Linked DNA regions of Arabidopsis thaliana. The protein of the gene in region 2 interacts with the protein of the main gene of each other region in a pairwise test. Each region holds a gene or a part of one and is shown on either strand. Other genes may lie near its edges.

Region 1 (4,969 bases), 1.9 Mb from region 2:
ATCAAGCAATCTTGACAACGATGGAGCAAAGTTTTGTGATGAAAAATCAGCATTTTCCGTACTGTTTGTATTTTCTCCATCATGAAACACTTCAGGGTCATCGGAACCACTATCATGATTACTGGACACAAAAATCGGATTTTTTGGCAAGGAAGATAGAACCAGGGCAAACTGAACAAGAAAGTGGTAACCGTGTGCATTACGTATGTCCTCCCGGAGCCTAACACCACCAGCCTCTACAAAGTCAAATATGAAAAAGATTAGTAGCCATAATCAGAACAGCTTTAGCTTACATGTCCACATATATAATGTGACTACTGAATGTTCTACTCTCACGCAGCATTCTTTCATACGGACATAACATATTTAGAGCTATGTAGACTACATTTACCAGGTCTGTACGATAGTTCTACACATTCAAGTAACAAGTCCACAATGCCCATAGTGTAGGCTGAGTCACCACAACTTGGATCAAATTCTTTGACAGCCATCAAGAGCACCTTTATCTGCACGAGAACTCAAAAATTTAGAATATATTTTTCAATGACTTGTTGCAATTATCATTTTGCAACACTATGCTTCTGATGAAACTAAAACATAAGCATACAACATTTAATTATAATTTGCTTCTATCCTGAAATCAACATAAGTTTCCTGATAACCACGTTCTTTATCACGGAAATCTCACATAGTTTCAACATTAGCAAAAAGAATAAACTATACCCACGGTCAGCTTAAAAGTATGCATGAGACTCAATATACTACACTCAGGCAGTCTGCATAATTCACTGGCGTACCAGATGGTGCTTGCGTATGTATCTTGCTGTGCTCCCATTGTCATTGACTAGTAGAAGTCCAAGGATCTGGAAGAGACACGAAAGGGTGCCAAATGAAAGTATAAGCATCAGATTATTCAATCCAGTTTTAATTTGTCCATCTAGAAAGCCGTTCACGGAATTTTTCCATTTCATAGCATGATGCTCTAAAATAGATGCGCAAAAATTACCTGCATTGCATGTCTGTGAAGTTGTATGTTATGGAGGGGAACTAGACCTTCTTTATACTGAGAAAAAACTGTAATGGAGCCATTGGCAACCATATTGAAAAGCGACTCAAGAGAGTCATCTTCAATCAAACTCTGAGCAGCAGAAGGATTGCTTGCTAATGCTTTCATGATATGAACAACACTACCCTCCACCTACACGAATGAAGGGGCACAAAGTATTTATTATTTATTAAGCTGATAAAGCATTTGTGTAATATAAACTTGGTTGTCATATGTAGCTCAAAACAATGTCGAATAACATATCTAATCGTATTATGATTTGGAAAAAAAACAATTGAAACAGAACCTCAAGTCGTCTAGTCTGGAGAACTATGTATCCAGCATCTTTTTCCGCTGATACAACTTCTAAGTCACCAGTTATTTTACTTTTGCTTAGTTCATCATATGCTAGAAGTGCAATGAGAACGTGTATTAGACAACAGAATATCCCAGAATCCAGTAGTGATTGTTTGTCGATAGGCTGAAAAGAACACATAAGAGGCAACACAATATAAGGCATAAAACCATCAAAGAGTAAGGATCCTGGACGATAAGAAATTGAGCTTTGCAAGATTTTATGGAGTGAGTAAGATGAAAGACACAGGAAAAAGTCGAAAATGTACCCCAGATACAAGTACTTCAACAGCAGTTAAGAGGTTTGCACCAGGACTAAATCCCTCCTGTAGGAAGAAACCATGGATTAAAAATAGAGAAGAGAGGGTGACATGTCAAGATGCACATTCAGAAAGAAAAGGCAAACCTTGGTGACATCTGAAAAGAACCTTAATACTTTCTCTACATTCAGTGACCTTGTCTTGCTGCCGATCTTCAACTTTTCAATATCTGTCACAAATGCTCTCCCAATGACAAAGGAGAATATATGTGTTTCTACTAACCTGCGATTAAAATAAATTTCTCAAATTGGTGATTATACCATGTCTGACCTACAAGGATAAAATATGAGGTATGGAAGAAGACTAGCTAGACAGGGGAGAACATACAGGTTGAGAAACGCATTTTCCACCATAAAAATCCAAATCATGTGACAACAAACGCCAATTCAATGTATATCCAACCAAAAAGGGAAAACGAGTTAGGAATAGCTTACATAGTAACTAACTGATCTACATTAGCGTGCCGCTTCACTAATCTACAAAATATATCGACGGTCAAATTCAAGGCGGCCTCCTTCTCCTGCATGACATATGAACGATTAGCACTAATAAATTTCTAGCCTTTTGTAAGCCCATCCAGTGTAGAAAATACAAGAAGAGATATTGTTCCAAGAATAAAGGTAAGGCGTTCACTAACGCATGTGCAAGAGTATGGATTATCAAAGTAAGTACCTTTTCAGAACTAGATGAACGAAACTCTTCCCATAATCTCTTGAAGTCCAGCTCCAACTCATGGTTATCTCTGCTTTGGAGAGGAGTAAAGAGAGGATCAACAATAGTTTTACAACAACAACAAGAGCGATCAGTCAACAAAATTAGAGAATCCAATTGAAAAGTGTTGCAGCTTCAAAGACTATATTTTTGTTTCAATTGAGTTAGCAGCAGCCTTTGACTCTCATTTATCAATCTTATCACAAAAAACGTAGCACCACAAATGTTGCAATAAAGCAATCTAAAAGAAACTTGGTTGGTGTCGATCACTAATAAAGCAATCTAAACTCTGGTCCCCAAACAAACATAAAAAAGCAAAGCTATAACTAGCAGCAACGATGCGCAACATCGGAACAAGATGAAGCAAAAGCAGAAGAGAAAAGAAGAAGAAATTACCTTGAAGGAGAGAAGTTGAAGTGATGAAGAGAAGAAGAGGAGGGGTAAGTAAAAGAAGGAGAAGAGGAAGAAGAAGAAGAAGAGGGCGGAGCAGTTAGGTCAACGGGAAAGGGGTCGGAGTCAGAGGATTGAGCTAATCCAACCTTCTCCTTGATGTCCTTAAGCAATGTTGCCCATTTCATCGTTGTGCTTTTCGATCCCAGAAACTTTCATCCGATGAAGACGACGACCTCACCAGACCAGACCAGACCCTGACTCGGTCTCCAAACACGACCCACCTCAGATCCGAGTCGTCGATCAGATAAATAAAATCAACCCTAAAAATGCGATCAACCCAAAACTCTCATTCGTTCACAAGAAGGAAACAAAACACACAATCCTTAAATTGAGGAATTCAAATTAAAGAAAGAAAGAAGAAGGAGACCCAAAAAGGAAAAAAATAGTCTTTTTTTTTTAAGATCAAATTGAGCTGATACAATGTGACGAATTAGGGTTTCGTAGCAAGAAGAAAGATCTAAGATCCAAAATTTTCAATTTGTGAACCCCTAAACACTTGAAAAAATCCCCTTTTTTCCTTCCACGAGAATGAGCAAAAACCCAAATTTTGACAAAAAGGGAAGAAAAAGAGCTTAGCGGAAAAACGCGATTTTGTTTTTGTTTTTTTTTTCCTTAAAGAAAATTTAAATTAAATCAAATCTCCTTCTCTCTCTTTTTTCTTCCTTCTTTCTTTGTTTTTTTTTTCTGTTCTGGTGTTGTTGACGGCGTCGTCTCTCTCCGCGCCTTGTTTCTCGCTCAAGTCGTCTCACTTTCTCTCTCTAAAACACGATACTGTTTGTTTCTCCTTCGTAAATTATTTCCAATTTTATTACTTTATTAGCCCTTGAAATTTTGTTTTATACTATTTTATAACCACTACAATATTTCATTACCATTTTGACCCCCAAATTAGTCTTGCATCGCAAACCCCACAGCTAAATTTTGTAGACCAAAACAATGGCGCATATAAAATTATCAACTAGGGACACTTGAATACCTTTGACATTTCGTTCGTGAAAGTAACAAAGGTTGACTCTATCTTCTCTATCATTTTATATAATTGTTTGAGTTAGTTTATATACAAATGGTCAAATAAGGATGTTTTAGAGATACACATTAGGATATTATTTTGTTTTATTATATTTTTAATAAAATAAATTCCATATGGATAGGGAAAAAAAAACATTGCTACTTTTGAATTTTTACAATAGACTTAACTCATACTTAAAATTAAAGTTAATTTTTACCTTTCTTAGTTTTTACTTTTAAGCCTATACATAGTATATATATTTACCTCATGCCAAAATAATAAATAAATTTATTTAGCATACAGTTTAGGTTCTTTTTGTAATACGAGAGCCAACACAACATAAAAAGAATTTGTAAACCATATTTGTGAAAAGTTATTATCTAGTGAGCACAATATCAACAGAAATTAGAAAAATTAACGGCAATATGGATCTGGATGAAGGTTTTGAAACAAACGAGACCTAAATTATAATTATTAAGAAAAACAAGGGCCAATGTAGTTTCTAGGTTCACGTCTACAATCGCAAGTAGAGCCCACGGGACGAGAATGCCACGTGTTCGTATAGGTTTGCTGAACGATTGCGAAACGTGATCCCCTCTTTGCAAAATTTAAACACTTTTTGGACCAAAACTTTTATGTCTTTTTAATAATAATACGAAACATATTTAAATTCATATTTAATTTATATATGAATTTCTTAAAAATATAACTATGTCATTGTGAGAAAATTCTAACATATATTTATCTATCTATCAAAATGCAGAGGTCGCGTATGTTAAACAAACAATAAACCTTATAGTACTGGTGGTAAATAGTCATCAACCAAAAGTAGAACATCTGATGATAAAGAGACGATATATTTTCAGAAAAAAATTAAAGATAGAACTTGGTCCGAATTCTGCTTCTAAAACAATTTTCCAACAATTATTATAGTATTTCATTTGTCTGATTCATGTCATATCTAAACACCAATATTTGTATGTGACGACTATAATCATTTAGGACTAAGTTCTAATATAGGAGTTGCCAACAAAAAAATTCCAATGGACCTTTAAAGGTTAAAAGTCTAAAAACATG
Region 2 (4,987 bases):
TCACTGTTTAATTAGAGAACAATACGTCTCTGAATCGTGATTCAGAGACGTATTGTTCTTCTGTCATATGCAATAAGTTTAATTAGAGAACAATACGTCTCTGAATCGTGATTGTTTTTTGGATGTGCGTTATTGATAGCTTTATGATGTTAATAGTCTAGGATTGACACGAAGTTGTTCTGCAGTTTTGCATAAATGCTCTTTACTAAGGCCTCTAAATTTGGATGACAAATCTAAATCTTGCCTCATAAAAATTTAGGTGTATTAAGATAAGATTATTTTGTATGGTAGTGTCTATAATGTGGGTTGTTCATGTTGAGGTTGTCAATGTTGTGTATTTTTGTTTGTTTAGTTAATTTGCTTAACTCTGTTCTTTGTGGGTTAATACAGTAAGCTTCAGAGTGAGGCCGTTCGTGAAGCCATCACTACTATCACAGGGAAATCCGAGGCAAAGAAACGTAACTTTGTCGAGACTATTGAGCTCCAGATCGGTCTGAAGAACTATGACCCTCAAAAGGACAAGCGTTTCAGTGGATCTGTCAAGTTACCACATATCCCCCGTCCTAAAATGAAGATCTGCATGCTCGGAGATGCCCAGCATGTTGAAGAGGTGATATATCTTTTCATGGAAATTGATCATTTTGTGCTCTGTTTCTTGTATAATGGTTTTGTGCTCATTTCATTTGGTGGCTCTATTAGTTTCATTTGATGTTGTATATGTCTTCTGAATGTAGATGCATGATGTTTTCGGAATTTGGTCATTGTTTATTTAGGCTTCATTTCTTGCATAATTAAATATTTGCTTATTTCATCTTGTATCTTTTCGTAGGCTGAGAAGATGGGGTTGGAAAACATGGATGTTGAGTCTCTAAAAAAGCTTAACAAGAACAAGAAACTCGTCAAGAAGCTTGCAAAGAAATACCATGCTTTCTTGGCCTCTGAGTCTGTCATTAAGCAGATTCCTCGTCTTCTTGGTCCTGGTCTTAACAAGGCAGGCAAGTTCTGGCTACAGCTAATATTCCATTGTTCTTCTTTACATCCGTTTTGATTTTGGATAGGTTTTAGTAGTCTATTTCTTTTGTCAATGTCTTTTTGATACAATGCCAATCCTTTATCCTGTGAGATTATGCTTCTTTGATGATTCTTAAGTAACATTCCTTTGCTTTACTTTACACAGGAAAATTCCCAACTCTTGTGAGCCACCAGGAATCCTTGGAGTCAAAGGTGAATGAAACAAAGGCAACAGTGAAGTTCCAGCTGAAGAAGGTTCTGTGCATGGGAGTTGCAGTTGGTAACCTTTCAATGGAAGAGAAGCAGATCTTTCAGAATGTGCAGATGAGCGTCAACTTCCTCGTCTCGCTATTGAAGAAGAACTGGCAAAATGTCAGGTGTTTGTACCTCAAGAGCACAATGGGACCACCACAAAGAATCTTCTGAGCTTTCACCTACTTAAAATTGGTGGCTATAAGACACTTCTTCTTACCCTTTCGTTTTTGTTTCAGACATATCTGTTAAACAGTGTAAGAGTTGTGCTGCTACTCTCCTCTTTAGCTTTTGGTTTGGATAATTTGAAATAACTGCAGTGATTTTGGTTAATGGATTTTGTAGCTTATATTATCTTTGAATTAGATGTGCTTATTTCAAAGACGAATCAATCCACAGATGTGAATAAAAACAGAAATTTTCGTTTTCAATTTGAAAATTGTCCTCGTGGACTGTTCCATAACCAAATTCTATTGACTATGCAGTAATTGATCTTTGAATTAAAAGGATCAACCCACTGATTATACTCCAATTGAATAAATATTCTTCTTTAATGTTGTTTATAATCTCTTAAGCAAGCTCTAATGATGTATTTTTGAAGCAAACTCTAATGCTTTTATGGTCAGTATATTTATTCTCTTAAGTTTTATAACTAAATTACCATTTTTTTTTGCCAAAGCAGACAACAAAATAGCGAAGTGCGTTCCAAAAGTTAGCGTTTTCGTCTCCGTCCCCAAATCTCTCAGCTACCTTAAATCAGAATTCTAGGGTTCTTCCGATTAGGGTAAAATCGAATCCAGATTTCCCAAAATTCTGATCTTTGATTTATAAAAGATGTCTCAAAACGGGAAGATAATCCCAAATCTGGACCAAAACAGTACGAGGCTCCTCAATCTCACAGTTCTCCAGCGGATCGATCCATACATCGAGGAAATCCTCATCACAGCCGCTCATGTCACTTTCTATGAATTCAACATTGAGCTCAGCCAATGGGTTAGTCTCAATCAATCTTCGATTACATAATTTGATGTTTGCTTCCCTACCTAATGATTGATCTGTCTTTTGTCATTCAGAGTCGTAAGGACGTTGAAGGATCTTTGTTTGTTGTCAAAAGGTTACTACTTTCGATCTTTAACTATGTGTATCTTATCTTTAATCGTCTTCTCAAATCTGATTGGATCCTTTTTTTTGTTTCTTTCAGAAGTACACAACCTCGATTTCAGTTTATTGTGATGAATCGTCGTAATACAGGTCAGGATTTATTCAAATAAAGTTGGTGTGTGTCATGTGTCTAGAAAAGGTTTAGATTTAGTAATATATTGCAAGTTCTTATTTAAGGATTCAGTATTAGTAATCATCAGTGTGTTGCTGTATTTGTCTGGATAGATAATCTGGTGGAGAATCTCCTGGGAGATTTTGAGTATGAAGTACAAGGTCCATATTTACTTTACCGTAATGCATCTCAAGAAGTAAATGGCATTTGGTTCTACAATAAACGTGAATGCGAGGAGGTAGCAACTCTTTTCAACAGGTATGTATATATAAGTCACTGCATATCAGGTAGAAACTGTTGGTTTCAATTGTTGGATCATGAATAATATCAATATCGTCTTTTATTTGCCTATTATCAGACAGTTACTTGTTGGCAAATATAATGTTCTTGTATATTTGTATGAACTTGAAATTACTCTTACTCGTTGTATCTCTGCCTAATGGTTCCTTGGCATGACAGAATACTCAGTGCATATTCCAAGGTTAACCAGAAGCCAAAGGCCTCATCTTCAAAGAGGTAATATTTTCATGATTAGATTTAGTTAGTACACCATTAGTTGTTTCTTGGATGTGTTTTCTTTGAGGTGGAAACTTGATAATCTAAATCATTTTTCCCGCTGTTATATCTCTTACTTGTTAAATTAAGTTAGATTTTCTATGTACTGCAGTGAGTTTGAGGAATTGGAAGCTAAGCCTACAATGGCAGTTATGGATGGTCCTCTTGAACCATCATCAACTGCTAGGGATGCCCCTGATGATCCTGCTTTTGTCAACTTCTTTAGCGTAAGTTTCTAAAGCTTCTGTTACACACTCACACTATCATCTTCACCATGACAGCATCTTATACGACTAATGGCAGGAGGGCTTTCTATTAGTTCTAGCCTTCTAGGTTCTTGAATTATCTTCAGCGTAGTATATGGTCCAACTTAGACTCCTCAAATTGTAACACTGAATTTATCTAAATTGTTGACAGTCAACGATGAATCTTGGGAACACTGCGAGTGGGTCAGCAAGTGGACCTTACCAATCATCAGCGATTCCTCACCAACCTCACCAGCCTCACCAACCCACCATTGCTCCTCCTGTAGCGGCAGCAGCACCTCCACAGATACAATCACCACCGCCTCTACAATCCTCCTCTCCTCTGATGACTCTCTTTGACAACAACCCTGAAGTTATCAGCAGCAACTCCAACATTCACACAGATTTGGTGACGCCGTCTTTCTTTGGCCCCCCACGAATGATGGCACAGCCACACCTCATTCCTGGTGTATCTATGCCCACTGCTCCTCCTCTCAATCCTAATAATGCGAGTCACCAGCAGCGGTCATATGGTACTCCGGTGCTCCAGCCTTTCCCACCCCCAACTCCACCACCATCACTCGCTCCTGCACCCACTGGTCCGGTTATCAGCAGAGACAAAGTGAAGGAAGCCCTTTTATCCCTGTTGCAGGTTCGTCCTTTACCACATCACTTTATTTGAGCTGCTGTGCAAACCTAACGAGTTGCTTTTGACAGGAGGATGAATTCATTGACAAGATTACCCGAACTTTACAAAATGCACTTCAACAATGAAGCTGCGCTGGTCAGCATCTACGTGTGGGATAGTGGCTGTTTGATCTAGAATGTGTAGTTAAAATGTAGTTTTGTTCCCTCTGAAAGTGTTGTTGGAACCTTATAAGATACTGCACTGCCCCCTTTGTTTAACTCTTGGAATTACTTTTTCATTTTATCTACTTTCAAGTTTTTACCTTTCCTCATCAATTTTTGTTTCGTAGTCGAAAGACATGTTAAAGACTTTAGATTCACAAATCTTCATGCATGTTTAGAGTTTATTGGAACATATACACATCAAGATTAATACAAAAAACATGAAAGAGTAAGAAGAAAGAGAGATAATTTTTCTATTTTTTAAAAGATTCGAGATTGCAAGACAAAAACTGTTTGTATGGTTCAAGTCAAAGACGTATTGTGATGTTTCGTTTTGAAGTATTATCCCAATCTTTTGTGAGCTTTCCCTCGAGAAACGCTTTTAACATTTAATACTTTAGTTAGACTGACAGACATTCTTAAAATCAAGATCATATAAGAAAGACTTGTCGAGATATAGAATGAAACATCAAATAGCAAAGAAAGCTTTGTTTTGATTGATAATATTACACATAACCAAGAGAGAGCATATAGTACAAACGAAAACAAGAATAGTTATCCTTAGAAGTAATCTTCAGTCCTGCCCTTGAATCCGATTTGTCCGAAAGTGAGGCAGAGGAAGAGGCCTAAGTGCCACGTAACCAACCACAACCAGAACTGTGAAGTGAGAGCTGGAGGAGTCGGGAAGTGAGCGAGCTCAGTTCCGATGCTATCGAAGAAGAGACCCGTCAGGCTCTTCCCATTTATCGCTGGAATGCTCGACGGAGCTAGCCATCCGATCAGCCCAAATCCTACCACGTTC

Evidence for each region. The genes of interacting proteins can lie anywhere in the genome.
Region 1: the proteins of DCP1 (region 2) and SPI interact in a two-hybrid assay, tested with the Arabidopsis thaliana proteins (one study listed by BioGRID).

The regions. Positions count from the first base shown.
Region 1 is NC_003070.9:723,884-728,852, forward strand, and holds the start of SPI (BEACH-DOMAIN HOMOLOG A1), read right to left. Parts: upstream 3,009-4,969; coding exon 2,827-3,008; intron 2,465-2,826; coding exon 2,392-2,464; intron 2,240-2,391; coding exon 2,154-2,239; intron 1,942-2,153; coding exon 1,806-1,941; intron 1,726-1,805; coding exon 1,669-1,725; intron 1,527-1,668; coding exon 1,353-1,526; intron 1,199-1,352; coding exon 1,007-1,198; intron 864-1,006; coding exon 798-863; intron 507-797; coding exon 392-506; intron 237-391; coding exon 1-236. UniProt on the Arabidopsis thaliana protein: Involved in cell morphogenesis. May have a function in membrane fusion or membrane composition. Required for salt stress tolerance.
Region 2 is NC_003070.9:2,636,258-2,641,244, forward strand, and holds DCP1 (decapping 1), read left to right. Parts: upstream 1-1,779; 5' UTR 1,780-2,097; coding exon 2,098-2,256; intron 2,257-2,336; coding exon 2,337-2,377; intron 2,378-2,464; coding exon 2,465-2,514; intron 2,515-2,649; coding exon 2,650-2,794; intron 2,795-2,995; coding exon 2,996-3,052; intron 3,053-3,203; coding exon 3,204-3,318; intron 3,319-3,508; coding exon 3,509-3,988; intron 3,989-4,053; coding exon 4,054-4,110; 3' UTR 4,111-4,406; downstream 4,407-4,987. Other genes in the region: AT1G08360 (Ribosomal protein L1p/L10e family), read left to right, coding at 391-610, 830-995, 1,178-1,437; PSAO (photosystem I subunit O), read right to left, coding at 4,747-4,987.